Caenorhabditis elegans: one gene and its partner. The protein of the gene in region 1 purifies or fractionates together with the protein of each later gene. This does not show direct contact. Each region holds a gene or a part of one and is shown on either strand. Other genes may lie near its edges.

What was found. The genes of interacting proteins can lie anywhere in the genome.
Region 2: the proteins of fbxa-5 (region 1) and mrps-10 fractionate together in Caenorhabditis elegans (co-fractionation; one large-scale study listed by BioGRID). This does not show direct contact.

Annotation. Positions count from the first base shown.
Region 1 is NC_003281.10:1,336,189-1,342,089, forward strand, and holds fbxa-5 (F-box domain-containing protein), read right to left. Parts: upstream 4,153-5,901; 5' UTR 4,146-4,152; coding exon 4,057-4,145; intron 3,998-4,056; coding exon 3,914-3,997; intron 2,442-3,913; coding exon 1,838-2,441; intron 828-1,837; coding exon 624-827; 3' UTR 507-623; downstream 1-506. Other genes in the region: fbxa-26 (F-box domain-containing protein), read right to left, coding at 4,428-4,622, 4,676-4,845, 4,894-5,369.
Region 2 is NC_003281.10:12,924,572-12,928,431, forward strand, and holds mrps-10 (Small ribosomal subunit protein uS10m), read left to right. Parts: upstream 1-1,985; 5' UTR 1,986-1,988; coding exon 1,989-2,180; intron 2,181-2,239; coding exon 2,240-2,386; intron 2,387-3,082; coding exon 3,083-3,214; 3' UTR 3,215-3,315; downstream 3,316-3,860. Other genes in the region: npp-25 (Transmembrane protein 33 homolog), read right to left, coding at 1,108-1,246, 1,295-1,411. UniProt on the Caenorhabditis elegans protein: Ribosomal protein required for normal mitochondrial function and normal larval development. Thought to have a role in insulin/IGF signaling.

The sequences.
Region 1 (5,901 bases):
TTCATATCTTTTTCAAAGTTTCTCAATTTTTTCACCACGAAAAAGCGTCGCGAATGAAAATTTCTCAAGCCATTGGGAGTGCCAACTGTTCACAAACACTTTAAAAGTGTCACCGTGACTGGAACTTTTCTGGGGTTAAGGCAAAGGTTGTGCGAAACGAGCAACTGTTCAAGATGTGCCTACTTCCGCAATTTTTCCCAAAAACTATTAAACTTTCTAGGTTACAATGATCAAAAAACATTGCTTTTTGTGTTAATAAGTTAACTGGCATCGAAATTATTTTCCCCAGTTTTCGATATTCGGTATTCTAATAGTAAGACCGAAATTTTGTGGCTTCAGTTGGTCCTGATTTTTGGGGAAAAAAAAGGCTTCGATGTAACCCAACGAGTGGTCTAATTCCGATATCTTCTTATTTTTCCAAATGTCTCTAGCATTATCCCACAATGAAAATCACTGACGAATGAAAGTTTCTTGAGCCACTGCTCAAAATGTGCCAACTTCCGCGTTTTTCCCGAAAATCTATTTTTATTGGTCTGACGTGAAGTTAAGAACGTAAAAAATTTTTAGGCGAAAATCGGAGTAACATTCAAATTATTAATAAATTAGAAAAACATAAAAAATCATCAAAGGAATCTCACAATAGAAAATAGAAAATACTGCGTTTCCAGTTTTGTACACTTGATTCCAAAAGTGTCGTTATCATTCAAATAATCAAAATTACAAATTCCAAAAGTAAAATCGGGTTTGAAAACTCTTGCAAGCTCAAGTCGATTGTCGCCATGGAATTCGATAAGGCAACTGTTAAATGTTATTCTTTTCATTAGATTCTGTAAAAAAACCTTATTATTATCAGAGCTGAAATTTCCGGCAAATCGGCAAATCGCCGGAATTGAAAATTTACGGAAAATGGGCAAATTGTCGGAACTGGAACTTCCGGCAAATCGGCAAATTACCGGAATTAAAATTTTAGGCAAATCGGAAATTCGGCAAAAACCAAAATTTCCGGCAAATCGGCAATTTGGCGCAAATAAAAATTTCCGGCAAATCGGCAAATCGACTATCTGCCGGAAGGCAAAGCGGCAAACTGCCGGAATTGAAATTTCCGGCAAACCGGAAAACTGCCGGAATTGAAACCGCCGGCAAATTTCCGATTTGCCGGAAAACGGCCTTTGACGAAATTTTTCTGCTAATTGTATTTTCCGCTTTTTTTGTTCGGAAAACGGCAAATCGGCAAATTGGCAAAAATCAAAAATTCCGGCAAATCGGCAATTTGGCAAAAACCAAAAATTCCGGCAAATCGGCAAATCGACTACCTGCCGGAAATGAAATTTTCCGGCAAATCGGCACATTGCCGGAACTGAACGTTTCCGACAAAATAGCCCATTGCCGGAAATGAAATTTTCCGGCAAATCGGCAATTTGACAAAAATGAAAATGTCCGGCAAATCGGCATTTTGACAAAAATCAAAAATTATGGCAAATCGGCATTTTGACTAAAATCAATAATTATGGCAAATCAGATATTTGCCAAAAATTAAAAATTCCGGCAAATCGGCAATTTGCCAAAAATTAAAAATTCCGGCAAATCGGCAATTTGCCAAAAATTAAAAATTCCAGCAAATCGGCAATTTACACATTTGCCGATTTTGTCGACAAAAAAAGTTTCCGAACGGCACCACCTGCATCACATATTGCGAAAAAATGTGTTTTTCGCCGCGGCCGACACTGTTCGGGTTTCGCTGCATACTTTTCAAGAGGCGCGGCTCGCGGCGCAAGGCAGGCACATCAGGCATTTTGGCGCCTACTTGTAATTATAATAAAATGTGTTAATAACTTACATCTCGAATCTTAATCGCACTTTCCAACGGGAAATCCTCCATTTTAATAGTGAACCTCTCAAAGTGAAAAAAGTTTTCGATCAGATGACTACCAAAGGTAAAATTTGAAAATGAGACAATCTTAGCCTGCTTCCACTGTTCCAGATGAGAAATCATTTCAATTTTAATTTTCGTGGCGTGAATATTATTAAATTCCATGTCTTCTGCGTTAAAATACGGCAGAATTGAGAGCAAATCATTGAACGAGAAGCTCCAAAAAATTACTTTTTTCATTTGGACAGGGGCTTCCAAGGTGTTGGTCAGAGCTTGGACATTATAGTCTTTATTCCCAGTGACATTTCGAAGACAAAGCCTTGATGTATGCTTTGATAGGAGCTCCAGATCTTTGATGGCCAGTTTCATGAAGTTTTCGCAGCTGATAGTAGGTTCAAGTTTGTTAAGGGTCACTATAGAACAACCGTCTAGGTTCGAGTAGCCAACTTGATGATTATCCAAATTTAGGATAATTTCTTGGCTTCTCAGTCGCAATTCAATCTCTTTAAAATGAAGCCCAAGTTCATCAACAGCGTATCTCAAGTTTCGGCACACTTTTCGGCACGGTAGCCTGGAATTAATTTTTACACAATTTCTAAACATTTTAAATGTGCAAAAATTGAAAGAAAAATTTGCAAAAATGAGCAAAAATGTGCAAAAAAATGTGCAAAAGTGCGCAAAAAAATGCATCAAAATTTTTTTGGCTTTTTTTTTGATAATCGAACAATTTTACAGTTTTTTGCTCATTTTTTTCACATTTTTTGCACATTTTTTATAAAATAAAAATTTCCGTCAAATCGGCAAATTGCCTGAATTGATAACTTTTGGCAAATTGACAAACCGGAAATGTGACAAATTGCCAAATTGCCGAACTTTCCGGAAAATCGGCAAACTGTGGTTTTTGCCCTTTTTTCCGGAAACTTCAGAGTTTTAATATTAATCGGCAAAATTGTATGCATTCTAAAAATGTTCCTACATCTATTTTGAAAAAGTAAGCAAATTCTAGGAAAAATCTAGAAAAAACGGGCAAAAAATTTGGAAAATGCACGGTTTTTCCGTTTTATAAAAAATCCCTCAAAAAAGTTCCGGAAAATTGGTATTCGGCAAGCGGCAAAGCGGCAATTTGCCGTGATTGAAAAGTTCCGGCAAATTGGGAATTTGCCGTAATTAAAATTTTTAGACAAACGGAAAAACCGGCAATTTGATGGAATTAAAAATTTCTGGCAAATCGACAAACCGTCAATTTGCCGGGATTGAACAGTTCCGGCAAATCGGCAAATTGGTAAATTGCCGGAATTAAAACTTTCAGACAAACGGAAAAACCGGCAATTTGCTGGGATTGAAAAGTTCCGGCAAATCGGCAAATCGGTAAATTGCCGGAATTGATCATTTCCGGCTAATCGGCAAACCGGCAATTTGCCAGCAAGTCGGTAAATTGCCTGAATTGAGATTTCCGGCAAATCAGCAAACTGACAATTTTCCAGCAAATTGGTAAATTTCCAAAAATGGAAATTTCCGGCAAATCGGCATACCGGCAATTTGCCAGGATTTAAACTTCCGACAAATCGGCAAATTGCCGGGAATGAAAATTTTCGGCAAATCGACAAACCGGCAATTTTCCGGCAAATCGGTAAATTGCCGGAATTTATAATTTCCAGCAAACCGGGAACCCGGCAAATTGGCTATTTCCCGGGATTAAAAACTACCGACAAATTGGTAAATTGCCGGAATTGAAAATATTCGGCAAATCGGCAAATTGTCGTGATTTAGAAGTTCCCCAAATCGGCAATTTGCCGGAGTTGAAAATTTCCGGCAAATCGGCAATTCGGTAAACCGTCAAGTTACCGGAATTGAAAGTTTCTAGCAAATCGGCAGATTGGTGAATTTCCAGAATTGAAAAGTTACGGCGAATTTGCAAACCGGCAAACAGGCAATTTGTCGGGATTAAAAAATTCCGGCAAACCGGCAAACCGGCAAGTTAGCGGATGATAAAAGTTCCGACAAATCCACAAACCCGAAATTGGCCAAATTTACTACACTCACCGATCTATGTGCTCCAGCTTCTCCAGAACATGGTCAATAATTTCTGAAGGCAAATCGACAAGCGTTGGGTAAACTGGTGTCAAACTAAAATATATATTTATCACTAGTAAAATTGTATCACTACAACTTCTCAACTTACTTACCCACTCATAAGCCGAATACATTTCATCTCAATCCACATGTCCAAAGCTTTTCCTCTTTTTTCTGTCAGATCAGCCTGTTGGTCGGACATTTTAGTACGAAAAAATGAAACTTGAGTATAAAACTTTTTGAATTCAAGAAACAGCAAATATTTGTAAACATGAATTTTTATATCGTTTTTTTTTTCTGAATACCTTTCCTTTTTCTATGGAAGTTTCGATTTTGACTGAACAAATACTTATGTATATGGTTTCAAGGTTTTGGTATACCTTTCAAATTTTTTCAGGATAAAAGTTTAACAGCAATCGAATTATATTAAGTTTAATGTGTTAAACAATGTAAATAAAAGTTCGAAATAATAAACATTTTTTTATTAACATCTCTTTATGAACAATCGACTACACTGACAGTAAATTGCAAATCTGCCCAAATCGTTTGAATATTCAAAATCACTCTCACCATTATAATCCGACTTAAATACTCTTGAAAGTTCAGATGGATCAACAGATTCATTTGTAATACCAATTTTGACCGCGCACTTTTCGAATGTCTTTCTCTTTAGTAGGTCCTGAAATTGATTTGATTTTTTAACAAAATATCACTACTACAAAAAATACTCACATCTCTGAATTGAATAGCATTTTCTACTGAAAATTTGAGTATGTGAATTTTAAACGTTTGGAAGTGGAACAGGTGTTCGAAGGGTGGGCATTCTAGCTCATAATTATCAAAACGGAAATTCTTCGTGTTTTTCCATTGATCCAATTTAGTGATTTGTTCAAATAGATTATCTAATGGAAAATTGTAAATATTGCGACGAGATATTCGGAGAAACTCACTTGTATCATCCCATAAGTAAGTATTCCACAGTATTATACTTTCCAGTCCTTGAGATTTGAAGTGTGGAAGAATAGAAAGTACAAAATCAAGGGGTACTTTCCAAAATTCTAGTTTCTCGACGTGATTCCATTTTTTGGCTGTTAAAGTCCTTAGAAGATGTTTTGCAGTAAAATACATATCGGTCTTGTAGCATGTGTGAACAGAACTTATATGTAATTTCGATGCGTAACGCAATAGTATTCCAAAGTCCTTTACCGCTACTTTTACGTAGTTTTGTTTTTTGAATATCTTTTCCTGTTTCTTGTAAACCACAGATGTACCTTCATCATTTAACAGTTGATCGTAATCTATAGTGTTGTTGTCCAGTGTTATACAAATGCCACTGTCGTGTATACTCAATACAATTGTGTCAAAATGAATTCCAAATCCATCAACAGCGCGTCTCAGTCCTTGACACACATTACGACAGGTCCATCTGGAAATTATTTTCAATATCCTTAATTGGGTTTATTTGAAACGGTGAAATGCAAATTTTCAACTGCAAAATTCCAGAACTGAGCTAAAGGTGAGCATTCAAAGATGCTCGCAGCAGCACAAATATTGGCAAGTCTGTCGGTGTTGGTTTCAAGTTTTTTAACTTTTTTTTGATTCATAAAAACTAAAAAATTGCCGATTTAAAAAATTTGCTATTTTGACTTGGCCCAATTAGCCATGTACCGACATATTGTCAGTTTTGCTGAGTTGACGTTAGCCAATTTTAGGCAAATGTCAGGCGAATTAGTCGCTTGTCTATTTCGGTTAATTCCGCTAAAACTTTTTTTGTGAATTTTTATGACTTTTTCTATTTGAACAGTCGTTCATCACCGAATTTGCTAAATAACAGTAAAACCAAAATTCTGAATAACCTAACAAAACTAACGTTAAAAACTTAACCAGATGAATATTTTCTGAATTAGCCGATTAGCCGAAAATTTGTCGACTTGACAGATTAATTTTACCCGAATTAT
Region 2 (3,860 bases), about 12 Mb from region 1:
AGCTTAATTTTGCAACCCTGCGGCACGGTTTTTTCTCCATTTTTCTCAATAAAATTTCGATTTTACTTGTTTTTCTCTTTTTTTTTCGAATAAAATTCTATCGAAAAAAGATAATAAAACATGTAAAATCGAAAGTTTTTTTTTAATCAATTTCAAAAAAGCAGTGGAAAAACCGTGCCGCAGGGTTGCAAAATTACGCGCCGCCTCTTTTTCTGTGCGATGCTGCTTTTTTTTTTTGCAAAATCTCACATTTTTTCGTTGATTACGGTACTTTTGTAGCCGATATCGACGTTTAATGCACCGTGAATTTTGCAAAAAAGGAGTATCGCACAGAAAAAGAGGCGGAGCTTATTTTGCAATCCTGCGGCACGGTTTTTTAGCTGCTTTTTTAAAATTGAATGTTTTAAAATAAAATTTTTGATTTTTCCTCTTTTTAGAATAAAATTCTATCGAAAAAAGATAATAAAATATGTGAAATCGAAATTTTATTGAAAAAAAAAATCAATTTCAAAAAAGCAGTGGAAAAAAACCGTGCCGCAGGGTTGCGAAATTACGCTCCACCTCTTTTTCTGTGCGATGTTGATTTTTTTTTGCAAAATCTCACATTTTTCGTTGATTATGGTACTTTTATAGCCGATATCGACTTTAAATGCACCATGAATTTTGCAAAAATCAGCTTCGCCGCACAGAAAAAGAGGCGGAGCGTAATTTCGCAACCCTGCGGCACGGTTTTTCTACAGCTTTTTTAAATTGTTTTTTTTAAATAAAATTTTTATTTTTCTTGTTTTTCTCTTTTTTTCGATTAAAATTTTATCGAAAAAGGGTAATAAAACATGTAAAATCGAAATTTTAATTTTAAAAAATCAATTTTAAAAAAAAACACTAAAAAACTGTGCCGCAGGGTTGCGAAATTACGCCCCGCCTCTTTTTCTGTGCGATGCTGTTTTTTTTTGCAAAATAAAGGACAAAAATTAGCAGAGTCTGACGAAAATCAAACGGAGAAATCGATAATTTTTGGGGATTTTGGCTAAATTATGCAATTTTTTCGAATTTTTTCGAATTCCCGGTCTGAAATTCGGGCTTTTAGGCTTTTGCCAAATAACGTACAAGCTGCGAAGATCTTATAATACGCAGAATGAGCCGGCACCAATCCAATAAACGGAATCATGTAGTTCAGAGCAAAAAAGACGGTCAAAACTCGTGCGGCGAATAGCACACACTCCATTGTGTTCGCCGAAACGTATTGCTGGAAAATTATTGATTTTTAGTTGGAAAAAACTGCAAAAATTCTCACTGAAATCGAGGAATAAGCTGGCGGTGGTGGTGGTGGTGGGGCACTCGAAGATCCAGAAGATCCAGCTCCGGTGGATGAAGATTGATGATCATCGGGTTCTTCGACAATTTCGACCATTTTTGTGAAGTTTTTCTGCAAAAAAATCTGTGAAATTGGGAAAAAAGGAAAAAATTGAGGTTAGGAGACGTGGATTAGCCCAAAAATTGCGTAGAATGTTCCGGAATCATCGATTTTTTTCTGTTTTAAACAAAAATTAAGGCAACGCATATTGAAAATCAAAAGAAAACACCAGCGGTTTCTATGGAAATCAATTAACGAGTATGTGGAGCCGCAGAGCACACATTCTCGATAATACTTGAGAACGACCGCAAACACTTTGACGGCACGTTGCACAGAAAATATTTTTGTGATTTTTTACTTTATTTACTCATAATAATCGTTTTAAACTGCTTTTATCGGATATAAATTCATAAATTTGAAGAAAAACTGCAGAATTTCTCTAGCTAGAAATAAAAAATAAAATTAATTGTCGTCAAGTTGTGCGCATTGTACGCAAGCAGCGTGACGTCAGATTGCACAGTTTTCTTTTTTATATAAAAAATTTAATTTAATCTTTTTTAAAATCAAATTTCCGCTATTCAAATAGATTTTAAGAGCTTATTTTAAAATAAATTAAAATTTCCTGAATTTCAGAATGCTAAAACTCGCTTCATCCCTCAGAACTGGTCTTATAAGCCGAAGCATCCGAACATTAGCGCCAACAGTGAACCCGGCCGAGCAACAGCAAGTTCAAGCAGTTTTACCCGACAAACTGTACAGCTCAGTTGAAATCGAGTATCGTGGGCACGACAAGGCGGTTTTGAAGTCATATACGTCGTTTTTGCAGGTATTTGAACGTTTTTCAGGTCTTTTTGATTTTAAATTGCATTTTTCATTTATTTTCAGCAAGTCTGCCAACACCTGGAGATTCCTCAAGGTCGTCTCGAAGTTCTTCCGTATATTCGATGGGTTCAGCCGGCTCTGCGCTCGAAATTCGTCCATAAAAAATATAAATTGCATTATGAGACGAGAACACACATTTCTAAACTTGAGGTTGGAAAATAATTAAACGCCTATGGGGTCACAATAACCGAATATCATGATAAAAAAATTCAAAAAAATTTTCTAGATTTTATATGATTTTTTGAAAATTAGAAAAATCTCAGTTTTCCCCCTAATTCCTAATTGAATTTCCGCCAATTGGATTCGTTCGGTGGAGCGCACTTGCTATATTTTCATTAATTTATTTTATTTTTTCTCATTCTTTCACTGATTTTCTTCAATATTTGCGTATTTTTATCGGAAAAAGAGAGAAAAATGCAAGATAAAATCAAATTGTTCATTAAAAATCACTGAAAATGGGTAAAACTCTAAAATTATGAGTTCTGGAGACAACAAGCTAGCTTGAAATTAGCATATTTTACAGTTTTACCCATTTTCAGTATTTTTTTTTTATGAAGAATTTGCATTTTTCTCTCTTTTTCCGATAAAAAACCACAAATATTGAAGAAAATCAGTGAAATAATGAGAAAAAATAAAATAAAATCAATAAAAATAGAGCAAGTGCGCTCCACCGAACAAGTTCAATTAGCGGTAATTTAAATAGGAATTAGGGGAAGGGAAGAAAGAGATTTTTTCAATTTTCAAAAAATCATATAAAGTCAGGAACATTTTTTTGAATTTTTTTATCATGATATTCGGTCTCTGTGACCCCAAAGGCGTGTTTTCACCTTAAATTTTTTTTTCCAGATCCTCAACGTGACTGGCTCCACAGCTTCAACATTCCTCGAATACATCCAACGAAACATCCCAGAAGGCGTCGGAATGCGTGTCGGATTCACCGAACTTCAACCACTACCGCTGACAATTCAGAAAAATTGATTTATAACCAAATTCTAGTGTGTAGATCCTTATTGTTATTTCGTTTTTTTTTCCTTCTTCAAATTGTTTACTTTTAATGAAATAATAAAGGTGGACCTCTCACCTGATTGGTCGGAAAGTGGGCGAAGCAATTCGCTGGTTGGTCGGCCAAAATTTAGCCAAAATTGAAAAAAAGGTGTTTTTTTTCTGTGGAATTTCTGAATTTTTAGGATTTTCCAAAAAAAATCCGAATTTTTTGATTTTTTAACAATTTTCAAAAAAAAACTGCTTTTTAGGCCCCGCCCACTTCTTGGAGATAGGTTATTTTGGAAAATAAATTCCAAAAAAAACACTGAAAATTTCCGAATGCCCAAGAAGTGGGCGGAGCCTAAAAATAAATTTTTTTGGATTTTTTTATTTTTCAAAAAAAAACGGCTTATTAGGCCCCGCCCACTTCCTGGAGATATCTGTTTTTCTGGAAAGGAAAAAAATTCCAAAAAAATCACTTGAAATTTCCGGATATCCAGGAAGTGGGCGGAGCCTAAAAATAAATTTTTTTGAAAATTTCCAGTAGATCTTTGTTGTTGCATTTTTCTCTATATTTTCAAATTGTGTTTGCTTTTATTAAATATATAAAATGAGACCAAAAAACATGGCAAAACAAGTG